Coturnix japonica: one gene and its partners. The protein of the gene in region 3 interacts with the protein of the main gene of each other region in a biochemical or structural test. Links are inferred from orthologs where the notes say so. Each region holds a gene or a part of one and is shown on either strand. Other genes may lie near its edges.

Region 1 (7,336 bases), on a different chromosome or scaffold from region 3:
TCAAACATGGTCCAAGGTGGTTTCAAGACATCTCAGTATCTACTGGAATCGAACTGGAAAGCTCTGTGCAAGAAGACAGTGTTTTAAATTTCATCTGACCACAACACGCACGTGCATACTTCTAACAGCAGTCTGTACCCATCTGCTCCATTGAATACAGCAATGAGCACCTGAGGACACAATGAGCACCTGACACCACGCTTGCTCTCATTGCACATCTTTTACCTTGGCATCTGTCCCCATGATGAGGTCCTTCAGCTCAATGATCTTGTCATTTATAGAGGACCGGTAACGCTTCTCAATGATGTTGTGAGTTGTTCTCCTTTCTCCTTCCTTAGGTGGGTCTGGTTGCTTGACACCTCCGGGAACTTGTTTGATAGGCACCTTTTCTTGTCCCATCATCACTGGCATTGTGGTCAGAATGGTTCCATTGCTCCCAACAAGGGTCTACAGAGACCACACACAGCAAGTGTCACCAGCAGTCAGCCAATATAGACAAGATTATGGTGCCCAGAGCAAACAGAGTAAACAAAAGCAGAATCAAGAGAAGTCCACAGAGCTCAAAAAGGAAGAGTTATCCCATGTCTTCCTATGTTCCTTAGCTGGCACAAGCATGGGAACAGCAGCATAAGAAAAAACATCCACACTGCTTCCCATAGTAAAAAGATCTCTTTTCTCCACGAGTATCATCACCCCAACACCCTTTCACTAATACCACGCTCTGATCATCCACAATTTAAAGAGAGACATGGACCAAAGCTCCTTCCTGCCTTTAGAGTCCTTCTACCCCACATCTCCAAATGCACAAAGAAAGTCACTGGGCCAACAACTGGTAATGCAGCTTGTGAACCTGTAATATTAGAGATGTTCTGATTGCGTAAAGACAAACTCTGGCTTGGATTTGAATTAGATTGCACAGGGGAAGAAACAGATCCCTAACTACTTTAAGCTATAAAATACCTTCATATGAGGTATTAAGGCAGACTGATGCACACTGATGTGAAGAGCTTGGGCTTCTATTACTCTCTGCGATGGCCTGAAAGGAGGTTGTAGCATGGTGGGTTGGCATATTCTCCCAGGAAACAGTAATAAGATGGGACGGACTGGAGCTGGTGGAGTCACCAGCCCTGGAGGGATTCCAGAACCGTGTGGATGTGGCACTGAGGACATGGTCAGTGGGCATGGTGGGGATGGGCTGTCAGATGGACAAGGTGATTCTAGAGGTCTCTTCAACCTTAATGATTCTATGGTTTAAATTTAAATAAACGATCTCCCCCTGGCCAAAGCAGCACGTGCTATAGGAGAAAAGATGGTGAATCCCACCAGGACGGTTGCACAGAGGGGCTTCTAGGACAGTCAGACCAAAGGAAACCATTTAGATCACTCCAACCAGTAAGGTAAGATTGGGAAAGGTACAACTGGTCTCTGAAGCACACTCAGAATCAGAGAAGTTGTTATGGAAAAGCAGTTATTTATACCAGAAATCAAACCGATGTAGGCGAGATTAATTTAGCCCCAAGCAAATTAAGAATCAACTTTTATTCTGAAATAGTTATTGAACTGGGATAGGAATGAACACAGGTTCGCTTAAAGCTTTTGGCAAAAAATGAGTTAAAGTATTCTGTCTTTCCTCAGTTAATTTCCAGCATATTTCAATGCATTCAGAGTGCTTTGTGGGTTGTGTATTTGCCAGGCACAATCACATGAGCCTCACCTCCATGACAAAGTGAGACCTAACAGCAAGTAAACTGAAAACTTTGGTCTGGCTGCTACCAAGGGCACAGGAACCCCATTGTGCTATGCAGACAGAAGTTAAGTCCAGGCTTGCAAGCTTATCTCCAGCAGCAAGTATGAGAACAGAAGGACCTTTGCAGAATGCAGAAGGCTGTGATAAAAGCCTCTTTAGCACACAAGCATCTCCAAGCTGATAAGTCATGGCCCAGAAGCACTGCTGCCATCTTGAATGATGATCCCAACCCCTTGCAGCACATTCCCTCTGAGAAGCAGTTTAATTAGTTTTTACATCTAATGTTTTGCCATTGGATTCTATGGAGGGAGAAAGGAAAATCCACAGCCACCCCGAGTCAGTTGGCTTTAAGCATCTCTCACAGAGGTTAAAAACCACATGGAATTCTTTGGTCATACTCCTCTCCTACTAATGCCAGGAAAAGGTAAACAGGAACGTGCCCTTGCTCTGTGTTTACCGGCCAGAGGAGGCTGCCAAAAACACACACAGTCTGTGCTCTCAGCCTCAGCAGAAGTGGCACATTACTCACGTTGGACACATTCAGAACAGCATTTGGAACCCCTCCCATCCACACCACTGGAGAACTCCGAACACCAAACCTCCTTGTATTAGGAAATAACGTGACCGAGGGGAGGAAGAAGAGTATTAACAGTGTTACCTGCAGAGCTGTGGTCTGGATAGGAGTGGTGAGCGCAGTGAGCGCTGGGTTCTGCACCGCAGCCATAACAGGATTGCCGTCTGCCTTCAGCGTGGTCAGCACGAGGGAGTCCGTCTTGATGATCTGAGGCTGGACCAGAACCTGCATGGGGAACAGCCAGAGGTGAGGGGATAAGTGGGCACACACTGCTCTGTTCCTCTCAGTGGTCAGAGGCAGTGACAACCCATGGTGCTGACATCAGAGACCAGTAGTAACCCAGTACTCAAAACCACCAAGGAGCTGATGAAAGGGTTCCTCTGCCCTCGCCTGTAACAAGTTCCCTGTGTTAGCTGGGGGAACCCTGAGGGTACAACACATGGGTGAGGTACAGGACGGGAGGGAATGGCCTCAAGTTGTGCCAGGGGAGGTTCAAGTTGGATATTAGGAAAAATTTCTTCTCCAAAGGAGCAGTGCTGCAGTGGCACAGGCTGCACAGGGGGGTGGAGGAGTCACCAGCCCCAGAGGTGCTCCAGAACCATGTGGATGTGGCACTGAGGACACGGTCAGTGGGCATGGTGGGGGTGGGCTGGCGATTGGATCCTAGTGATCTTTTCCACCCCTGAGCTATGTGGATGGACCAGGCTCTTTCACATCCACTTACCGGCACCTGCTGGACCTGTGGTGCTGCCACCGTCTGGACTGTGGCAGGTGCCAGTGCCTGGATGGTGCCGCCGGCAGCCTGCGTCAGTACACGTGGGGCCGGCACCGCCTGCACCTGCTGCTGGATGGTGACTGGCTGCACCTGGGGGGACGTCACCAGGCTCTGCACCTGAGGCTGGAGAACTGCAAAGAGGGAGAGACGTCAGGGATGGCACCATGCTGAGGCCTTCTATGCTTTCTGCCGTGGATACGACTGACCCCAACGCTACCTTGGAAGCTCGTGGCCGCGTTCTGGTATAGGACGGGCTGCTGGATGATCCTGGTCTGGGGCGCAGAGCTGAATGTGGGGGTGATCATCACCGTCTGCTGCTGGAGCTGGGGCTGGAGCCGAGGCTGGAGCAGCGGGGCAGAGCGCTGCGGGGTCGGGGGCACCTTCACTGGGACGCTCTGCAGCTGTGGGGAGGCAGCAGGCGGAGGGAAGGGCTGCTGGGCCTGGCCATAAGGCCGCGTGGCATCCAGGGCCCCACTGCCTGTGCCACCACCACCGCCACCACTCTGGAAGGTGCCACACAGAGGGTCCGAAAACAGGTCTGGGAAGTCCCCTGCCTGGTTGCTGACGAACTGCAACATCTCTGCAAGGAGGAAAAGGAACGTTTGAGGCGGGTTGGTTCCATGGACACGGGGTCAGGACTCAGAGGCCAGCAGTGAGCACAGGAGGAAGCGGCAGCTTCAGAAGCCCCAGAGGTAGCCAGTAATTCAGTGTCAAAACACTCCCAGAGCTCGAGATCCAACATTTTCAGCTGGTTGCCATTTGTCCAATCCCCATCCCAGCTTCACGCTCGGAGGAGGAGGATGAGCAGCCCCATGACTTCAGTAGGAGCCGTCCTCCCACCCGGGGCTGCCACACACAACGCCCATCCTCTGCCCACGGAGCCCCACAGGGACACGCGGGTGGTGACTCACCCCGACTTGGGGTAATTTCAGGTATACAGGGAAACAGGGGAAACAGGCTAAAGGAAACGGCGCTGTGCAGAACTGGAGCTAAGAAATGCACGGGTACGTCTAAGGAGATCCCACGGCCAAAGCTTCCCTCCAGCTGCCTCCACTGACCACCTGAGCTCCCCCTGAGCCCATCCCAACACCAGGCGCACGGGACCCCACGCGGCACAGATACCCCAGGGGCTGTACATGGGTACGGAAGCAGCAGTGTGGTTTATGGCAGCGGACCGGCAGTAGGGCTGTCCCTACACCGCCCCACGCCGCACCCACGCCGCACGACACGGCGCTTTCCCACTCGATACACTGCCATTTTGCGAGCAGGTGGCCCCACGCAGGTAAGGGACGGACACAACGCGTTGGATGCGCTCCAGCGCACTCCGTGCTTGGACACAGGGCCCCCCCGGGGCACTCGTTAGGATCGGCGCTAATTACCGCTTCGTCCCCCGCTGCCCTCTGACGTCACGCTGCTCGCCGTGACGTCACGCGTATGACTCAAACCCGCCGACCCGCGCCGCGGGGGCTCCCCCGCACCCCCACGCAGCCCACCCGCGGCACAGCGCCGAGCCCCGCGCCCCCGCCCGGCCCCGCGCTCACCGTCAATGTCGCCCAGCGTCAGCTCGTCGCCCAGCTCGGTCAGGGTCTCCATGCCCTCGGCGCCCAGCTCGCCGCTCTCCATGTCGCTCAGCCCCGCTCCGCTCCCCGCCCGCTCTAAGCGGAGGAAGCAGCCCGGCGCCGCCGGCCCCGCGCCATCTTGCGCCGCCCCGGCCCCGCCCCCACCTGCCCGGCCCCGCCCCCACCGCGCTCCGTCACTGGGACCAGGCCGGCGGTAGCCAATAGGAGCGCGCAGCGCCGCGTGGCGTGATGGCGCGTCGGCGATCAGCAGCTGCGATTTGCATGCGAGACCACGCCCCCTGCCTTCCGCGCTGCATATTCATGAGGGGGCGTGGCCGAGCCCACGAGCGTGAGCCCCGCGCCCCGCCCCGCGCCCTCTCCATGGCAGCGAGCAAGAAGCCTCGGCGTAGAAAAAATAAGAACCGTTCTGCTTTATTCCAGAAAAACAACGCACGCCCCGTCCCCAACGCACGGCCCTGCTCCCAGCTGACGGCTGCTGCCCCAGCGCCCGCCGCTCGGGGACGGCCCCACTTTGGGGCCGTGGGACCACTGGGCCGCACCGGCTGGAAAACAAAAATCCACCCCAAAACTCACAGGAGAGGCTGACGGGGCATCCCCGGCCCCGCCGTGGGGGGGAGCGGCCGCATCGGTGCAGGTCCCGGCCCACTCGGGCCTTTACAGCTCAGACTGCGAGCGGGAGATGCGCGGCCCCTTGCGGATCTCCTTGCGCTTCTCCTCCTTCCGGCGCCGCTTCTCCTCCTCGCGAAGCGCCTTCTGGAAGGTGTCGGCGCTGGGGAAGAACTGGGGTGGGAGTTAGAAGTACAAAGGAAATGATAAATTCAGTGTTTTGAGGGAGAGTGGAAGTGGAGCACGGCATCTCCTGTGGAGCACCAACCAAAAACCCACCAGAACCCAACAAAACCCCTTCAAAACCCAACAGAAACCCAGTAAAAATCCAACCAGAACACAGCAAAACGCCCAACAAAACAACTGAAACCCAATCAGAACACAACCAAAACCCTCCAAAGCCCAACAAAAAAGCAGTAACAACCCAACCAGAGCCCGACAAAAACACAAGCAGAACACAATAAAAACCCTTCAAAGCCCATCCAAAACCCAGTGAAATCACAGAAGAGGACTATGTGGCTCGGCCACCCTACCTCAGAGTGATCAGCTTTGAAGGGGTTGCGGTAATTGGGGGACTTCTCACTGATGCCCAGCTCCTGAGCCATCTGTGAAGCAAAGCAAATCCCCCGTGGGAGACCATCACCACCGCCTCCTCCCACCCCTCATCCCTCAGACACTTCAGTCCCCACCAGCCCCAAATCCTCTGTCTTCCCACAACCCCCTGCAGACCCCCATTAGTGGCCTCAAGGCCGTACCAGCCCCAGGAGCTGGGAGTGGGGGCCCTGATCAAAGACGCCCGTCAGGTTGCAGAAGCTGATGCCCCAACGGATCAGGTTGTTCCAGTTGGAGTTGCGGTCGAAGTAGTGGTGCACAATCTTGGGGAAGCGCAGCACGACGTCCCCAAAGAAGGCCGTGTTCTCCACCACATGGGAGTAGGCTGAGGACGAGAGGAACCAGCCCCATCAGCAGCACATCCCACACGCCCCAAATGCCAGCTTCGGGGCATCACCAGCCATGGGACACCAAGGGTGGACGTGGGACAATCCCCAGGGGCAGGAGTGGGAGAGAAGACAGGCTGTGACATCTTAGCTAAGGGGGTTAAGCAATATGGAGCACTCACCATCCTTCAGCTTCTCATCCTGGGGGAAAGGCCCATCCGGAGGCACGTCTGCAGCTATGAGTACAGCCCGGGAGTCTTCCAGCACCTACAAGAGTCCTTGGGGTCACTGCCCTCTTAACCTATGGGGTGCCCCGCTGTGTTCCTCCCTTCCCCTTCCTGCTCATCTATGTGCCCTACTTCTTCTGCCCACTCTCCCCAAACCCATCCCCTGCACCACAGCACCCTGAGCCCATCCCACACTCACTTTGAAGAGTCCCTTGAGCATGATGTCAATGATTTTATACTGTTGGTTGATGTCATTGAGCTCAATGAGGTTCTTCAAGGCATTCATCTGGTCCTTGCGCTTCACCTCGAACAGCTTCTTATCTGCAGTGTTGTCAAGGGCACTGTGGGGCTCTGAGCGAGTTCACAGACTGCTCCCAGAAAGACAGCCCAGTTCTGAGAGTGGGGTTTCGGGGCCAAGAGGTGGGTTTCCAGATACCCCAGCAGGATGCTTGCTAACACCCAGCACACTGGGGCAGAAAGAAGAGCTCTGCATGAGGTCTTCTTCAGACACCACCTGAAAAACTCATTTCATTACAGGCCCTGACATCTCATTAGCAACTCCCTCCTACAGAAGGGTGATGAGGAAAGTGCTCAGCAGTGCTGGTTGATGCTGGGGCAACATTTGAGCACAGACTGTTGCTTTGTATTGCCCAAGAACTAACAGGTGGCAATATGGGGCAATATGGCATGCAGTGCCAGCCCTGCTCCAGGCAGGACCAAAGCCACATCAGGTTGCTCAAGGTCATGCCCAGCAGCCATGTGACACTTAGCTCAGCTTGTTCCCATGTTGCTAGCAATAAGCATAGCCTTAGGGCCCTCCCCTCCTCTCTCTTCCATCCCCTTTGTGCCATCTCCTCACATTCAAGTGTTCCACGGCCTCCTCAGGTGT
Region 2 (7,480 bases), about 4.4 Mb from region 3:
AACAAGGTGCTTGGGAGGAGGATGTTGGATGCTGCTGCCTCTGTTCCCCTGAGCACTCAGCAATATCAAGTTTGGTTACAGAAAGTCACTCATTAGCATTAGAGCATTTCCTCCAGCTTTCCTTACAGTAAGTGATCTGACAGAGACCTTGGGAGTGTCCAGGCACTGAACAGGTACCTTCACAGACAGCAAAGAATCCATCCAGACAACCCCGTAAAGAGTTCAGTCAACATAAAAAGGACCAATTTGATCTGATGCTTGCTCAAATGTCAATGAAGCAAAGCCCACAAGAAGGCAGGCTCCATTCATCCTGATGCACGGCTTTCCTCTATTCCCGTATTTTTCCACTACACTTCCACAGCCTTCAGGCACAAAACAAGTAAAACCTGTGTTTTTCTGAAAGATGGAAAACCATGGATGGCTGCAACAAATGTGCACGTGCATTTTGATGCACGTTGCTTAGTGGAATGTTTGCATTTTTAAGGCTTTATGAAGCTGAAGTTCGTGAGCTGTGCTTAAACTCCACAGCTACAGCCATTCTGCTGTGGACACTTCTCCATCTGGGCAACTCAGCCATTCTTAATTCAGCAGAAGCCAACAGCCTCCATCACCAAGGCTGCTCTAAAAAGAAAACCCAGTGCTAACTCCAGAGCAAGCCAAGTAACCACGTGGAGAGATCCCCATGTGTAAGAGCTGAACAGGACCCCAGGAGGTTCCCAGCCCTGCGTGAGCCCACGCAGCACAGGCACTCCTTGTAGAAGCTGCAGACTGCACGGTGTAACTAACATCAGACATTAAGGATATTGCTATCTAGAAGTAATGTACCGCAGCCTGTAATAGATAAACACCATGACAGCACTGTGCAGTTGGTAACTGTTCATTAAGGCCCATCAATGCAATTGGCAAGTAAGTAAAATGAGAAGCTATTTAACCTTAGATGCATCTTGACAAGAAACCATTTGATCTCATCTCCTGAAGGCTGTGAGAAACCCCCTTGTTAAGTAGCAACCCAGTCAATGTGTGGTGGTGACGGGCTTCTTATCTCAGGTGGAACCAATCCCCACCAGCCAAAGCAGTCTGGGCCAACAAGCCCCACATGTGGCTTTTATCCCCAAAACCCTCGCTGATGTTCATAAATGCTGGTACAACAATCAAGTATTCCTGTGACTGTCAGTCCTGAACTGAACTCTGACTGGAACCTCCACCTCTTATATAGTGCAGTACTCTTCACCAGGCTCTTCTCTGTGCAGTGGAAGCCCATTACATTTCACTAAGATTTATAAAATCCCGAGACACTGTGAAGTATGAAGAAAAAAATTAAACATAATGTAAATGGCTTAAAAGTAACTCAGGTGCTCAGGAAGGAGAACGCTTGATCTGAAGAGAAAGAAAATGACCAAAATCATGAATGCCACATTAAGCAGGGATAGCTTTTGATGAAATCGAGGTTGTTCTGAGACTCTCCTGATATATAAAAGCTTGCAGTACATTCTGCACTCTCTAAAGCTTTTGGCAAAACGAAATCCTGGAAGTATTGTCACATGAAGAGCCACACTGTGGTCTCTATGGTAAAACAGATGCAAAAGAATTAGCAGTGTATTAGTGTGGGATGGACAGAGGGCCTGAAGAAAACCTCAGAAGGAACACCTTCCTATGCTGCACAGCTATTTCTTGTCCAGTGCTATTCTTCACCAGCAAGAATAATTCTCCATGCTTTCCTTGTACCTTACAGTAAGGAAGGAGGTTTATGGGTGTGCCTTGCAGGAGTGCAGGACACGGGTTTACATGTGATGCAGGCTCTGTAAGAAACTGCCCAGAGATGGAGCCCCATACCAGTTCCCATGTCTCGGAAGGTCACGTATATTTAACTATTAAAAGAGTAAAAACTACAAAACTAAAAGGACGCACACAGGACTTGGAGAACTTAGCAGCATGTATCTTTTGGTGAGAGTAACTGAATCATTCCTTTTCACAAAATGCAGACTTAAAATTCAGACTCTCACATACACAGCTCACATCTTCATAGTTTCATAGTTTCGTGCGGGTTTGGAAGGGACCTTAGAGATCATCGAGTCCAACCCCCCGGGATTCGAGCCTCTGTGTAGCAGAGCGGCACTTCTACCACTTGCAACACAGGGGATTCGAACCCAGGGCCTCTGGTGTTGCAAAGTGGCGTCTTTAACCACTGCGCCACCGGAGGCATACATCTTCTGTTCCAGTATCAGTTTATATAAGGACAAATCAATTTAGACAAGGCACAGCTCTTCTACTGTACTTTTTAATTGCTGTACAAATCTGACCCAAAGCCCTCTGCTCCCTGAAGCTGCAGAAGGGAGCAGCCCCCTCAGTCCCAGAACGATGGCTGTCACACTGAGCACCTCCCTTCCTCAGGTGAGCTCTGCCGCACACTGCTCCTCCTTCACTTCCCTAAATACATGAAGAGATATTTACTCTGACACGACATCAAGGTCCCCATACATAGACACCAGAATTCATCTCTTGTTCCTACTTTAAGGACATTACCACCAGACTTGGAAGTGCTGTTCCAAACGCAGGAGGCTTGTCAGCAGCACCAACTAACGACACAGGACACATTGCAAGGGCAACAAGCCCTGCTGGCAGATGGTTTTTACCTATGCTTTCAGACCTCTGCAAAGTTTCCTCTAGCTCCTCTCTGTGCAATCCAAAGCCCAGCCTTCCCCCACTCCTTTCCTTCTGATTAGGCCACAAATAATTCAGTGTCACACATCATCCCGAGGGAAGCCTTCAGCTACCAAGATGCACAATCTAAGCCATACACAGGCTGTGGGGGCTGAAATGTCACCTGTGTGGGGCAGCTGCTGCTGCAAAACAACTGATTCACTCCGAGGCCACCAAAAGTTTGCAAACAGGGCAGAGCAAGAGGCGGACAGAACACACAGCAACCACTGCCTCCATAAAGCAAACATGACAGAAGTTCCACCTGTCAGCCAGATGGAAAACCTCTCACCTGGAATACGGGGATGGACCTCCCCTGCCTCAGGTCTGTATATGTCTAGCATTATTTATCTTTCAATTTCTGCCCCTTTGCTTTCCCAATTCTAAGCATTCTTTCCCATAGCTTCTGCTCTGGCCAGAGTTAAGGAACAAGTTTGTCTGAACACAATTTCTGCTATGCAGACTCTCAGCTTTAAGCCCTGCTGTTCATCCAGTGGGAGCTCCCTGTACATCGTCGCATTTGTATTTCTCAATAGAGGCCACATGGTTTTGAAAGAGACACCAACACCAAGTTCCCTGCCCTTCAGAGGGGCACCAATGACCTGTAACAGCTCTATTTCCACTGCAATCCAACTGTTACAGCCACCTTCGCTCCTCAATGTCCTTGGCAGCAAACCTTCTGCCTTTGCAAAACTCTTAAACACACTGTATCTGTGTAGCTGCAACTCCAGTTTTCTTCCAAAAGCAATCAGTACAGTATTCAAAACTAAAAACATGCTGGAAACCCATTCAATGACCTAGTTATGAGTTTAAGACGTTTAACATCTGCTACAAAGGTACGCGATCTTTGGCAGTACCACAGCTAAGAACTGAGCGATAGTACAAATGTTCATCGGAACGCTATCGCCCCATGTTTCAAGCATTTAAGCAGCTGAAAAGTGAAAGCATTAATACTCAGTTTACAAACGCAGGTAGAGGCCTGGCTTTCTCATGTTCTTCCACACATTTCAAAAGAAGCAGCTATTTCTTTACTAGAACAGCATAACATTACTGCACACTGCCTGATGTAAGCAGCGAGACCCACAGAGCGGGCCGAGCAGCCCCCGACCCGGGGCACACAGCTCAGCACCGCTCCTCCCGCACCAGCCAGGGGAAAGAAAGGGAGGTCGGGCTTTCTGAAAGAAACCGAACTTGGAGAAAGGCCGGGACACACCGAGACTACAGGACCAGAAGATCGCTACGCTGGAGAGTTACAGAGAAATTCAAACAAAAGCTGGGGCTCAAAGAAACGTCAGCGCACCGTCACTGACATCTTCGTGACACCCGCCGAAGAACCGACCCCAGAAACAGCGCCCGAGCCGACAGCGGCTTCAGGCGGCTTTAGCGAGAGCCGCTTTCCTCCTCCCGGGGCTGCGCACCGCCGGCTGGGCCCGGCCCGAGAGCTCCGCAGGCCGCGGTGCGGCCGCAGCTGCGGGCGGAGCCCCGGGGCTCGGGCCGCGGCCCGAGAGGGGCCCGACGACGCGGCCCGGCCCGGGGCTCCCGTCCGAGGGCACCCCTCGAACGCTGCGGCCGAGCGCGGCCCGGCAACCCCCCCCCCCCGGCGGCGGCCCCGAGCACGGTGAGCGCTCGGGCGACTCCGCGCCGCGTCGGGCCGGCTCGTCCCGGCCCGCTCCGCTCCGGGCCGCCGCTTCCGCCCCGCCACCCCCGTCCCGCCCGTGCCGCCGAGAGGCCGCGGGCCGCCCCGCCCTCACCTGGTGCCGGTGTCGCCGCTCCGCCGCCGCCGTGACCCGCTCCGCGACCGCGCGGGGGAGGGCGAGGAGCGCCCGTGCGACCAGGGGCGAGCGGAGCCCGCGCCCCGTGACAGCGGGGGCGGGAGGTCGCGGTGGGCCCTGGGGCGCCCGGACACCCTCCGCAGGCCGCCGCTCCGCCTCCCGCCGCTCCGCCGCGCGCCACGTGACCTCCCGCCCCGCGCCGCCCGCGCCTGCGTCCGAGCGCGCTGCGCCGGGAGGGGGGATCCGCCGGGACGGGGGGTTCCGCCGTGCGGGACGGAGCTGCTCCGCGCTCCGCCGTCGCCGCCCCGCGGTCTCCGCTCTCCTTCATCGCCGCTCCGCGCCGAGCGGGCGCTGCCGGCGGCATCGCGCGGCCCCGGTCCCGGCCCGCGCACTGGGAGCCGCCTTCCGCGAGGCGTCCGCGGGGCCGCGGCGCCGTCCCTCCCGCGGCGCTGTCGGAACCGGGTCCGGCCGGGCCCGGGGGAGCGGCCGGCGCTGCCTGCGGGGCGCTCTGGGGAGCGGCCGCCATCTTTGCCGGGAGGCCCCGGCCGCGGGCGGTCCCCGGGCTGGCGCCGAACGCCGCCGAGTGAAGAAGCCGCTCTGAGGGCGCCCGAGCCCGGCACGGCCTGCGCCGTGTGCTGCAGGAGTCTCTGCAGACGTTCGAACCCGCCTGCGTGTCTTCCCGTGCCACCTGCTCTGGGAGCCTGCGTTCAAAGTCGGCCGGGTCCGGGGCAGCCCCCGGCGCTGCGGCTGTGTCAGCAGCGATACTCGGCTCCTGCCGCACGGCGGGAGCGAGGCCTGCGCTGCTGAGGGAAAGGTGTAACGGGATGGAGTCGTGCGGAACGGCACTAGAATGTGGGGATGCTTTTGAATAACGGAATGCTTTGGTCCCCGAGCAGAGAAGGGGCACACGGGGCTGTCTGGCAGGATTTAGCGTGCGGGGCACTGAGACCCGCAGGAGTTCACGTCATATCCTGCAAGGCTGAGTGCACGTGGGCAATGCCGAGCTCACACCGCCGCGGTGCCGCTGCAGAAACGTCACTTTTTCTTCTGCCGGTCGCCGCTTTCATTGAAGAGCACCCATGTTCCGCTGGTAAACAAAAGCAGCACGTGGCAGCTGCTGTGTAAGGCCACTACAATGACCAGGAGTCCCTTGTGAAAATCCAGTCTTTGGTCCTTTAAAAAACCGCACAGTTGGCACAGCAATGTGGGCAGGTCCTGCTGTGCTCCCTGGGGTGCACGGCCCCCAGCTCACTGCTGGGCACAGCCCCGATGGACCCACAGAACGGCACGACAAGAGGAAACCTCGGTTTGTTTGCAGAACGTGTGAAATGCAGCTGTCCCACTTGTCATTTGCTGCTAGAGCAACACGGAACAAAATAGGATTTCTTAAATGGATGTATGAATCCATTCCATGGGAAAGCAAACCACCACCGTTATTGGATGACTGATGCTTCTGCCAAGTAATTTTGGTGTGTGGAAAGCTGCGAGCAGGCTGTTTATGCAGCACTGGCAGCTCAGACACTCCCTGCTGAAGGACAAATTGCTCAGCAATTCTTTGCTAGGGGGTTCTTCTGCTCGTGCCTCTCTCCATGTATATCTGCCCCGGTGCCTGAGGTGTGGGAGCTCCCTGCACAGCCTTCGTGCTGCCTCTCCCCCAGCGGAGGCACACAGAGGTTTGGGAAGAAGCGTGGGGGCATGGAGTTGTGAAGAATGGGGCTGGGGGAGGCAGCAGAGGATGGGCACAGCCCACAGCATGGCTTGCAGTTGCGCTGGTGGTTTGGGATTCCAGCTGGGACATTAACTTGATGCTGGGATCAGCATGTGGCAGGCTAAGGTACATCTGTGTCCTAGAGCTCAATTCCAAGTCTGAAGCCTTGTGAATCTGAGTCCTGGGGAAGAAACCCTCCCAGACCCTGATAAGTTCCTCAGAAATGTCAGAAGGTGAGATGGGGAGTTTGCTTGCCGGGAGCTTTTCACATGAGGTGTTCTGGGGGCTTTGTATTACTCTGCTAATGTCTTTAGAGCTGGAAGCAAGAGGAAGCTGAAAGGCTTATTCAGTATCTGAAAAGTACCTGCCTTTCTTTCTCATCTCCATAATTTCTTCTGTACAAAGAGGCACTTCTTTACCCATATATGTTTAACTTTCTCCCCTTATCAGCTTGATCTTCCCCAGAACATATTCCCCTACCCCGCACACAGTCAGATCAGAATGCCCTTCTCAGAAATCCCCCTCCAAATCCCGCTGTTTGTCCTCACTAGAAATTAGTGCAGAATTCTTTTTATTTTTCCTTTCCTTGACTTTATATTATCTATGTTAACACAGGGTTAACCACAGCCAGCAATGACAAATAGAGCATTATTCTGCCCAGATTGAGATTTCAGGCAGTGCAGTATTGGTGCGTCTCATTAAGGTTTGCTCTGGTCACCCGAGTGCTGTAACCTTCTTATGTGGAGCAGGGAGGCTGTGTGCCACTCACTCCGGGTCTGCAAAAAGCCCTTCTTTCACCAGCAGCTCCCTGCCTTGCACATCCATTTAGAGCTTCATAACACCATTTCTGGTGACTTTTTATCTTGTACTTCTGAGCACTTGAAAAAGGCCAGGATTGGCACAAGCCTTGCATGGCCAAAATTAATCCCATTCTATCAAAGAGGTGGAAATAACTTTACCATGAGTGTGGTAAAGCTGGCCTCTGCACACCATGAATGGGACTACGGGGTTTTCAGGCCAGTCAGACAAGATTCTGGTTATACGTTCCTATATGGCAGTATTTTTAAAGGAAAAATGCTATATAGCAAAGGTGTCCTCATGGCTAGTTTTAGATTCCCTAAACTTAAATGTTGACTTGGATGGAATGATGTACCTTCTGATACTGGCATAGGGCTCACTTAGAGAGAAGACCTGCCGTGCTGTCCTTCTATCTACTTTTGATCCCAGTCTGTAGCTATCTAGGATTTGGTTTAACTGTGAGTGTGGTGACAGAGACGTGGGCAGATGACTGCATAGCTGGTAG
Region 3 (6,859 bases):
ACTGAGGAGCAGAGGAAGGAGCCTCCAGAGCTGGCACAGGAACACAGCTCCTCAACCCTGCAGTACAGCAGGGTGTGCCGGGCCTGGAGAGAGCAAACTGTGACTCAGGAGAGCAATAGAGGAAAGATGTGAGGAATTAGAAAGAAAGCAGGCAGGGAAGTGAGAGCTGCTGAAAGAGCTGGTGGAGATGCCCTGCATGAGCTCACTGCTGGGATCACAGCAGGCACCCCAGGTCACTTGTACCCACACATCTACATCAAGGGGCAGCATGAGGAGGTTGTGTACATCCTGCTGCAGAGCCCACTTCAACCCATTTCCTGCTAAGCAGAAACTAAAGTTGAAGCCCTACACCTGATGTACTTACCTTAACCCTCTACAACTCACAGTTCCCAGTCAGCAAAGGCACCCCCCATATCCTGGGACCAGCCCTCTCAGAGCATTTATCCTTCTGCAGCCCCTCTCTGATGGGAGCCAGGTGGGAGCAAATGCGGCCCTCCTGGGTAAGTGTTAATTGCATCCCTGCCAAACCCAATGGGGGTGTGGGGAAGGAGAAGGTGAGAGGGGAGATGAGGAGCACTGAGCTGTTCCCCATAGCCTTGGGGAGGTCAGTGCTCACCCCTCAAAGTGACTGCCAGGCCCTCAGAAATGCAAGGTGAATGTTCTCTGGGAGCCCTGTTGGTTGTACAATGCCCACCTCTGTGCTATGGGATGCAGGCTGGGTCACGAGCAGTGCCTGAGAGGTCCTCCTTGCTATTCTGTCATCCTCTGACCCTCTGTTGGCCTGCTGATCTCCACTGCTGTCCTTTGAGAGGGCTGTTAGGATTGACATATTCCGGTGTTAAAGTCTCAGTAGGTTTCTATGGCTTTGTAGATCCTAGGTGTATCATTTGCAAACGGGATTTCCTCTGAGTCCCATGCTGATACAAGAAAATGTGCTTGGGAGGGGACAATTAGATCAACTGAATAGTGAGCTGATCCCTTCAGCCTTGGGGTTTGTTTGGCTTGCCGGAGGGATTTTAGTCTAGGGCTTGTATGGTTTTGAGCCTTTCAGGTGTTCTCTCCTACACAGGCTGCTGCAATTCCCCACCCTCCCAAAAACACACTACACATACCAGTCCCCTTACAGCTTGTAAGGACTGCAGGGTGCATCTCACATCCCATACTCTGGAAGGTACCCAGCATACAGCCTTCGCCATGTTATAGTGCTGTCCTTTCTTTCTGGGTTGTCCCAGTCAGTCCCTCCTCACATGGTGGGTATTTGTCCATGAGTTCTCCAGCTGAAGCCATATGCAATTATTGTGCACTAACAGCCTCTTGAAGCCTCTTTCAGTGCAGTAACACCAACACTTCGCTATCAAACCAGCAGCTCACCCCAAGCTGTAAAACCTCAGCTCAAACTGCACCAACTCGTTCTCTGGCCATACTGCAGAGGCCCAAAGCATCTGCAAATCCCCCAGGAATTTTGGCTGTGCTTTGTGACAGCTGCAAACGGGTTTCTGTGTATCCTGAAGGCATTGCTGGAGTCGGGCCTTTGGGAAGAGCTGCTCACCCTGGCGCAGCAGCAGCATTAGCACATTCGAGATGCAAAGACTTGGGACACCCGGAGCACCCACCACTTCTTATGACCTGCTGCAGCTGCCCAGTTCTTTGGTAACTTGCTGGAAAAGGAGTTAGGAGTTGTCAGCTGTCTGTCTCACTGTGTTCTTGCTGTGTCCTTTCCCAAGCAGACACATCTCCATCAGAAGCAGCCAACCTCAACACTTCCAACAGCATTGGGGTGAGCGCACTGTGTGCCATCTGCGGGGACCGTGCCACAGGGAAGCACTATGGGGCTTCCAGCTGCGATGGCTGCAAAGGCTTCTTCAGGAGGAGTGTGAGGAAGAACCACATGTACTCCTGCAGGTAAGGGCAGAGGGGAACAAAACAGCACCCAGCAGCTGTGCAGCAAAGCTGAGTGCTGCAGCATGGCCCTTCATCTCCTCTGTATCCTCCAGTGTCTTCCCTGACCTCATCCTCTGGCGATAAGCTCTGGACTTAGTGCATGTGAAGCACACGGCTGCTTGCAAGGCAGGGCTGTTTAGGCTGTCTGTCCAAGAAGACCCCTCCCCACAGCTCTAGTGGGAAAAGCCAAGGCTCCCAGTTCTCCTGACACCAGATCTTTTATGACAGTGCTTAAAGATCTGCTTTCTGGCATCCATTTGAGCAAATCTTAGCTTGGGGCTTTCAAAAGTGTGTTACAAACAGGCCTTCCCAGAGCTACAGAACTCTGCATGGCTGGGAGCCCTTTCATAGATCTGTATGCCTTTGTCTTTGCAAGCTTGATCAATCAGCAGCTAATCAGAGCATATTTGCAAGTGAAATTCATGCTGCAAATGGCTACCAGGCTTATGCTGCATACGGGAGATCAGTGTAATGCACCGTCATCTGCAATCAATGTGGTGATACAAGTGGGTAGGGAAGGAGCTGGGTGCTTGCCATCTCCTCTCTGAAGCACAGGCAGCTCAGAGCTGCTTGTGTGCCAGCGATGCTGTCCAGAGGTCAGCAAGAACCTCCTGGAGCCAACACTGCCTTGGAGAGATGTGGGGACTTCAGCCCACTTCTACCCCTCCCCTCTCCCCCTCCCCTCTCGCAGGCTCAGTCTCACTGCTCCTCACTCCTCTGTTTCTCCCCAGGTTTAACAGGCAGTGTGTGGTAGACAAAGACAAAAGAAACCAGTGCCGATACTGCAGGCTTAAGAAGTGCTTCCGAGCAGGGATGAAGAAGGAAGGTGGGTGCCTTCCCCTCCCTGCCCTCAGCACAGACCAGCCCTCCCTCATGGCAGGACAGGGAGATGCTGGATGTTTCCATGAGCCCCAGGCAGGTCCAGCTGCCCACTTTAAGCCATACAGAGCCCTTGCACTCAGTTAAGCTTCAATCTCAGTTCCAGGGGCCCTATTCAGATGCCAAGAGAGAGCCACCAGCCCATGCCCATGTCCCAGAACTGACCACCCCCCCCCACCTTGTACCCACAAGTCACATCCACAGCTTTCAGCTTCTCACACTGAGATGCACGAAGCTCAGAAGAGGCCTGAGTCATTCAGGAGCACTTTGGGAGAACTGCTGTGTCACCTACAAATCCATGTCTGGACAGGTGGCTCCAGCAAAGCGTGCAACAACCCTTTTGCATCACAGTTTGCTCATGAGGATGTAGGTCCTTTAGGGCCCTGTGCAGAGAGCTGAGTTGTATCTGATACATCAGCCATAGCAGGGACACCTGGGGCTGCCGGTGGCCCTGTCATGCTAGTAGCCCCACTGCTGGCCCTGCTGGAGGAGAAACAAAAGTCCTGCCCCAAGGATGCCAGCCTGCGGGAAGGCCTCTGAGCAGGAACACGTCTTCCTATTACAGTAAATGAGGTGTTGCAAGGAACTGGGCTTGACTTTCCTTTAGAACACAGGAATCCTCCTCTCCCTGCAGAGCCCGCTCATCCCATGCCCGGAGCTTTGCTGCTGTCTGTTAATATTCAATAGAAGTTACATTAGGTGCATGACCAGCTAATACTGAGCAAACATTTGGAAAACATCATGGCGTGACTGAACTCGGGGGCCTGCTACTGATAACAAGCAGCATAACCTTGAGAGCTCCTATTTACAGCCGCTGACTGCAGGGCTTTGCTTCTGGCCCAGCCTCATTATTGCTTTTTATCAGGCAGATTTATACATTGAGAACGTATCAATCCAGAGAGCCGCCGGCCTAAGGCAGAGACTGTTCTGTTTCCCCTGCCATCGATCAATACCTTGTTTGAGCAGATGGCTTTGGGTGACTGACTTGGCTGTGGTGAGTTACGGCCAACCCACAGCCCCATGGCACAGAGAGACTCACAGCCCAGGCCCTTCTCTAGAGCACACCAAGTAGGGAGGAATGCTGGGCTCATACCTGCCTGGGCTCTCTCTACATTAAGGTATAAGGGTGCTCTGTGGCTCTGCATAGATGCATAGGAGCTATTCTGCATTTCCTTCCTTATTGAAGCTGAGAGAGATGTTTGCAAACTGCACCTACGCAGCACAAGAGCTTCCTAAATGCAGCTCACAGATGTTGCACGGACAGATAAAATAGCTGTGCACATACCTGGCTGCTTGATTTCACATATAAGCTATGGGCTGCCTGCATGAGCACAGCCGCACTCTCAGACATTCCCTTAAGAAACAGATCCTATACCTTGAAATCAAAACACTGAGAAACAGATCCCTTGAGATGAAACTCTCCCATTGAGCTCAGCAGGTTTTGAGCCAAGTGCTGGGGTTCTGGAACACCCCAGTCCCCACAAAGCCAAGTATAGACAGTGTGAAAAAAGAAGGACCAAACGTAATCAGCTCCTGCAGGCATCACGTCACAAACCAGACACAGCTGCACCTTTGCCTTGGCAGGCAGGGAAGCTGGGAAACTGCAGCTCAGGAAGTGGTCCAAAGCCTTGCGAAAGGGAACGCTGTGAGGCTCTGATAGCTTTTGCTGTGTGTTTCCATGAACAACCTGCAGCTGTGCCAAAATCCTCTCTTGCAGCTGTACAAAATGAACGGGACCGAATCAGCACCCGAAGATCAAGTTATGAAGACAGCAGCTTGCCCTCCATCAATGTCTTACTGCAGGCAGAAGTCCTGGCACAACAGGTACCTGTTCTTTCCTTTTTGGCCAATACAAAGCATCAGGCACTAGGGCTGCCGAGTAGTTAACAGCAGAGTCTTCAAATTACCAACTCCTTTCTAAGCAACTTATCTGCCAACTCAACACTGGTTTCTCAAAGGCATCCATTACCTGAAACCAGCCCTTCAATGCTCCTGGAACTGTGCTGCAATAATAGCCAATGGTCTGTTCTGCTCTGATTTCTGCTGGAAGAGAACTGGGCAGTGATCGCAATCCAAGGAGCTGTGGCCTTGCACAGGCAGCCTCCCATCCCCAGTGCCTGTCAGGAACTCCTGATTTCAGGTTGCCTGCTCAGTTTTATGAGCAATCGGTTTCATGCTTCTTTTTCTTTAATGTAGATATTCCTTCCAGTGTTTGCTTGAAGTTCCTGATTTCCACAAGCGTACTGCCAAAGCTCACATCCTGAGCATTCACCAAATGGAAAACAACTATTTAAACATCTATCCCTTTTTCCTCATGAAAACAAAGATGGGTTCAAGCTGGAGTGGCAGTCCGTGTTCATGTGGCCCTGCAGATGGCCCCCAGGACAGGGCTCTATGCTAGGGATGGCTGTAAGGACACCCCCTTCAAGGGGGGATATGCCAGAAGGGCTGTGGGCCAAACCTATACAGCAGTGGCACGTCCAAGCTCATCCCATGTCTCACTTCGTCCTACACAGGTCCTAATGTATTTACATACCCTCTGAAAATAACATTGGTGCTGCTCCCAGAGAGGTGAGATCATGGGGTCTCGAGTCACCAGACCTACAAGGGACGGGCATTCCTGGGGCCCTGAGTCCTGTAGTGACACGAGGTGGAGGGTTCGAGTGGGGTCTGCTGATAAAACTACAGCTATTGACAAATGTAAGGGAGCTGTCGCTCTCCCACAGAGCACATATATATTCATTAAACAAGGCAGACTCCAGCACACTAACTTCTATATGCCTGGCTAATTAGAACAAGATACTGCTGAGGAGCTGTTTTCTCCAAGATCTTGGGTCACTCACTCAGAAGGTTTTATTTGCTAAGCCTTCCGGGGCTTTCTGATTAGGGTAATACATGGTGAGATTTTTACAATCTTATTTATTCAATAATAGCTGTAGAGCTGGAGAACTTCCAGGTAACGCAACCTGAAAAAAACCTGGGGTGGCATTTGGACTCCATTTCCTTAGGGAGGTGGCAGGGTCTGAGCGGGCAGGAAGAGGACAGGAAGAGCTGATGTTGTACATGAGCAGAGAGGGCAGGCGGAGGGCAGTGATGGGGTTGAGTTAATTGCTTACAGAAGCATGAGGATGAAGTAGTGACGAAGGGCAAGTTGTCAGATGAGCTGGGTGACCAGCTAAGCGTGGGAACAGGGCAGGAAGCTGGTGCCTGAGCTTGAGATGTTCTTCCTTGGAGAGATGGTACCTGCAGAGCTCTTAGTGTATGAAATGTCCCAGTTTGCCTCTGCAGTCACGAATAATTCTCAATGCAAAAACATGGTAATCTCACTGCTGGTGTCTGCTAAACACAGCACCCAAACCTTCCCAGGCCTAAGATTTGTCTGTGCTCCTGCTGAGGGATCCTTTCTCTCTTCCCAGATATCATCCCCAGTCCTTGTGATGAATGGAGACATCCGAGGGAAGAAGATCGCCAACATCGCCGACGTGTGCGAGTCCATGAAGCAGCAGCTGTTGGTGCTGGTGGAGTGGGCCAAGTACATCCCTGCGTTCTGTGAGCTGCCCCTGGATGACCAGGTGAGCCCCGTCCCCCCACCTCGCTCTGCCCCGGTGATGACATCCAAAAGCAAAACGAGGGCTGAGACCTTCAAAGAAAATGAGCATTGTTTGCTCTGCTGTCGTGACCGCCAGGCTGATTGGGAGCAGCATCCATACAATGCCACTGCAGGCCATCTGATGTGGGATAATCAGCCGATGAGCACAGTGGTGATAACAGTGAGCTCAAGTTAGGTACACAATCAGGTGTGCATTTTGTATGGATCTGCCAGTCAGTTGTTCCTCAGAGAGATACAGAGAGGTGTTTCCTGCTGAACCCAAACATCAGAGGTCTGCAGCAGATGTTACAGGACATGGCTGTGCCCTGGCGTGTGAGGGAGGTGGGCAGGGACATCACTTCTGGAGGCAGCCAGCGTGGTTCATGTCCCACATAGGAAGGAACTCAGGGATTCCCATTTAGCCAATGTGCAGTCAAAAAATCAGCCTGG

Evidence for each region.
Region 1: the proteins of HNF4A (region 3) and SREBF2 form a complex in vitro, tested with the Homo sapiens proteins (2 studies listed by BioGRID and IntAct). The link is inferred for Coturnix japonica from reciprocal best matches to the Homo sapiens genes HNF4A and SREBF2.
Region 2: the proteins of HNF4A (region 3) and NCOA6 form a complex in vitro, tested with the Homo sapiens proteins (2 studies listed by BioGRID). The link is inferred for Coturnix japonica from reciprocal best matches to the Homo sapiens genes HNF4A and NCOA6.

Annotation. Positions count from the first base shown.
Region 1 is NC_029516.1:45,157,210-45,164,545, forward strand, and holds the start of SREBF2 (sterol regulatory element-binding protein 2), read right to left. Parts: upstream 4,819-7,336; 5' UTR 4,720-4,818; coding exon 4,638-4,719; intron 3,677-4,637; coding exon 3,314-3,676; intron 3,228-3,313; coding exon 3,046-3,227; intron 2,547-3,045; coding exon 2,406-2,546; intron 448-2,405; coding exon 226-447; intron 1-225. Other genes in the region: CCDC134 (coiled-coil domain-containing protein 134), read right to left, coding at 5,331-5,456, 5,816-5,887, 6,038-6,219, 6,403-6,487, 6,647-6,768.
Region 2 is NC_029535.1:415,549-423,028, reverse strand, and holds the start of NCOA6 (nuclear receptor coactivator 6), read right to left. Parts: upstream 4,644-7,480; 5' UTR 4,449-4,643; intron 1-4,448. UniProt on the Homo sapiens protein: Nuclear receptor coactivator that directly binds nuclear receptors and stimulates the transcriptional activities in a hormone-dependent fashion. Coactivates expression in an agonist- and AF2-dependent manner.
Region 3 is NC_029535.1:4,768,102-4,774,960, reverse strand, and holds part of HNF4A (hepatocyte nuclear factor 4-alpha), read left to right. Parts: intron 1-1,724; coding exon 1,725-1,902; intron 1,903-2,672; coding exon 2,673-2,767; intron 2,768-4,537; coding exon 4,538-4,644; intron 4,645-6,236; coding exon 6,237-6,392; intron 6,393-6,859. UniProt on the Homo sapiens protein: Transcriptional regulator which controls the expression of hepatic genes during the transition of endodermal cells to hepatic progenitor cells, facilitating the recruitment of RNA pol II to the promoters of target genes. Activates the transcription of CYP2C38.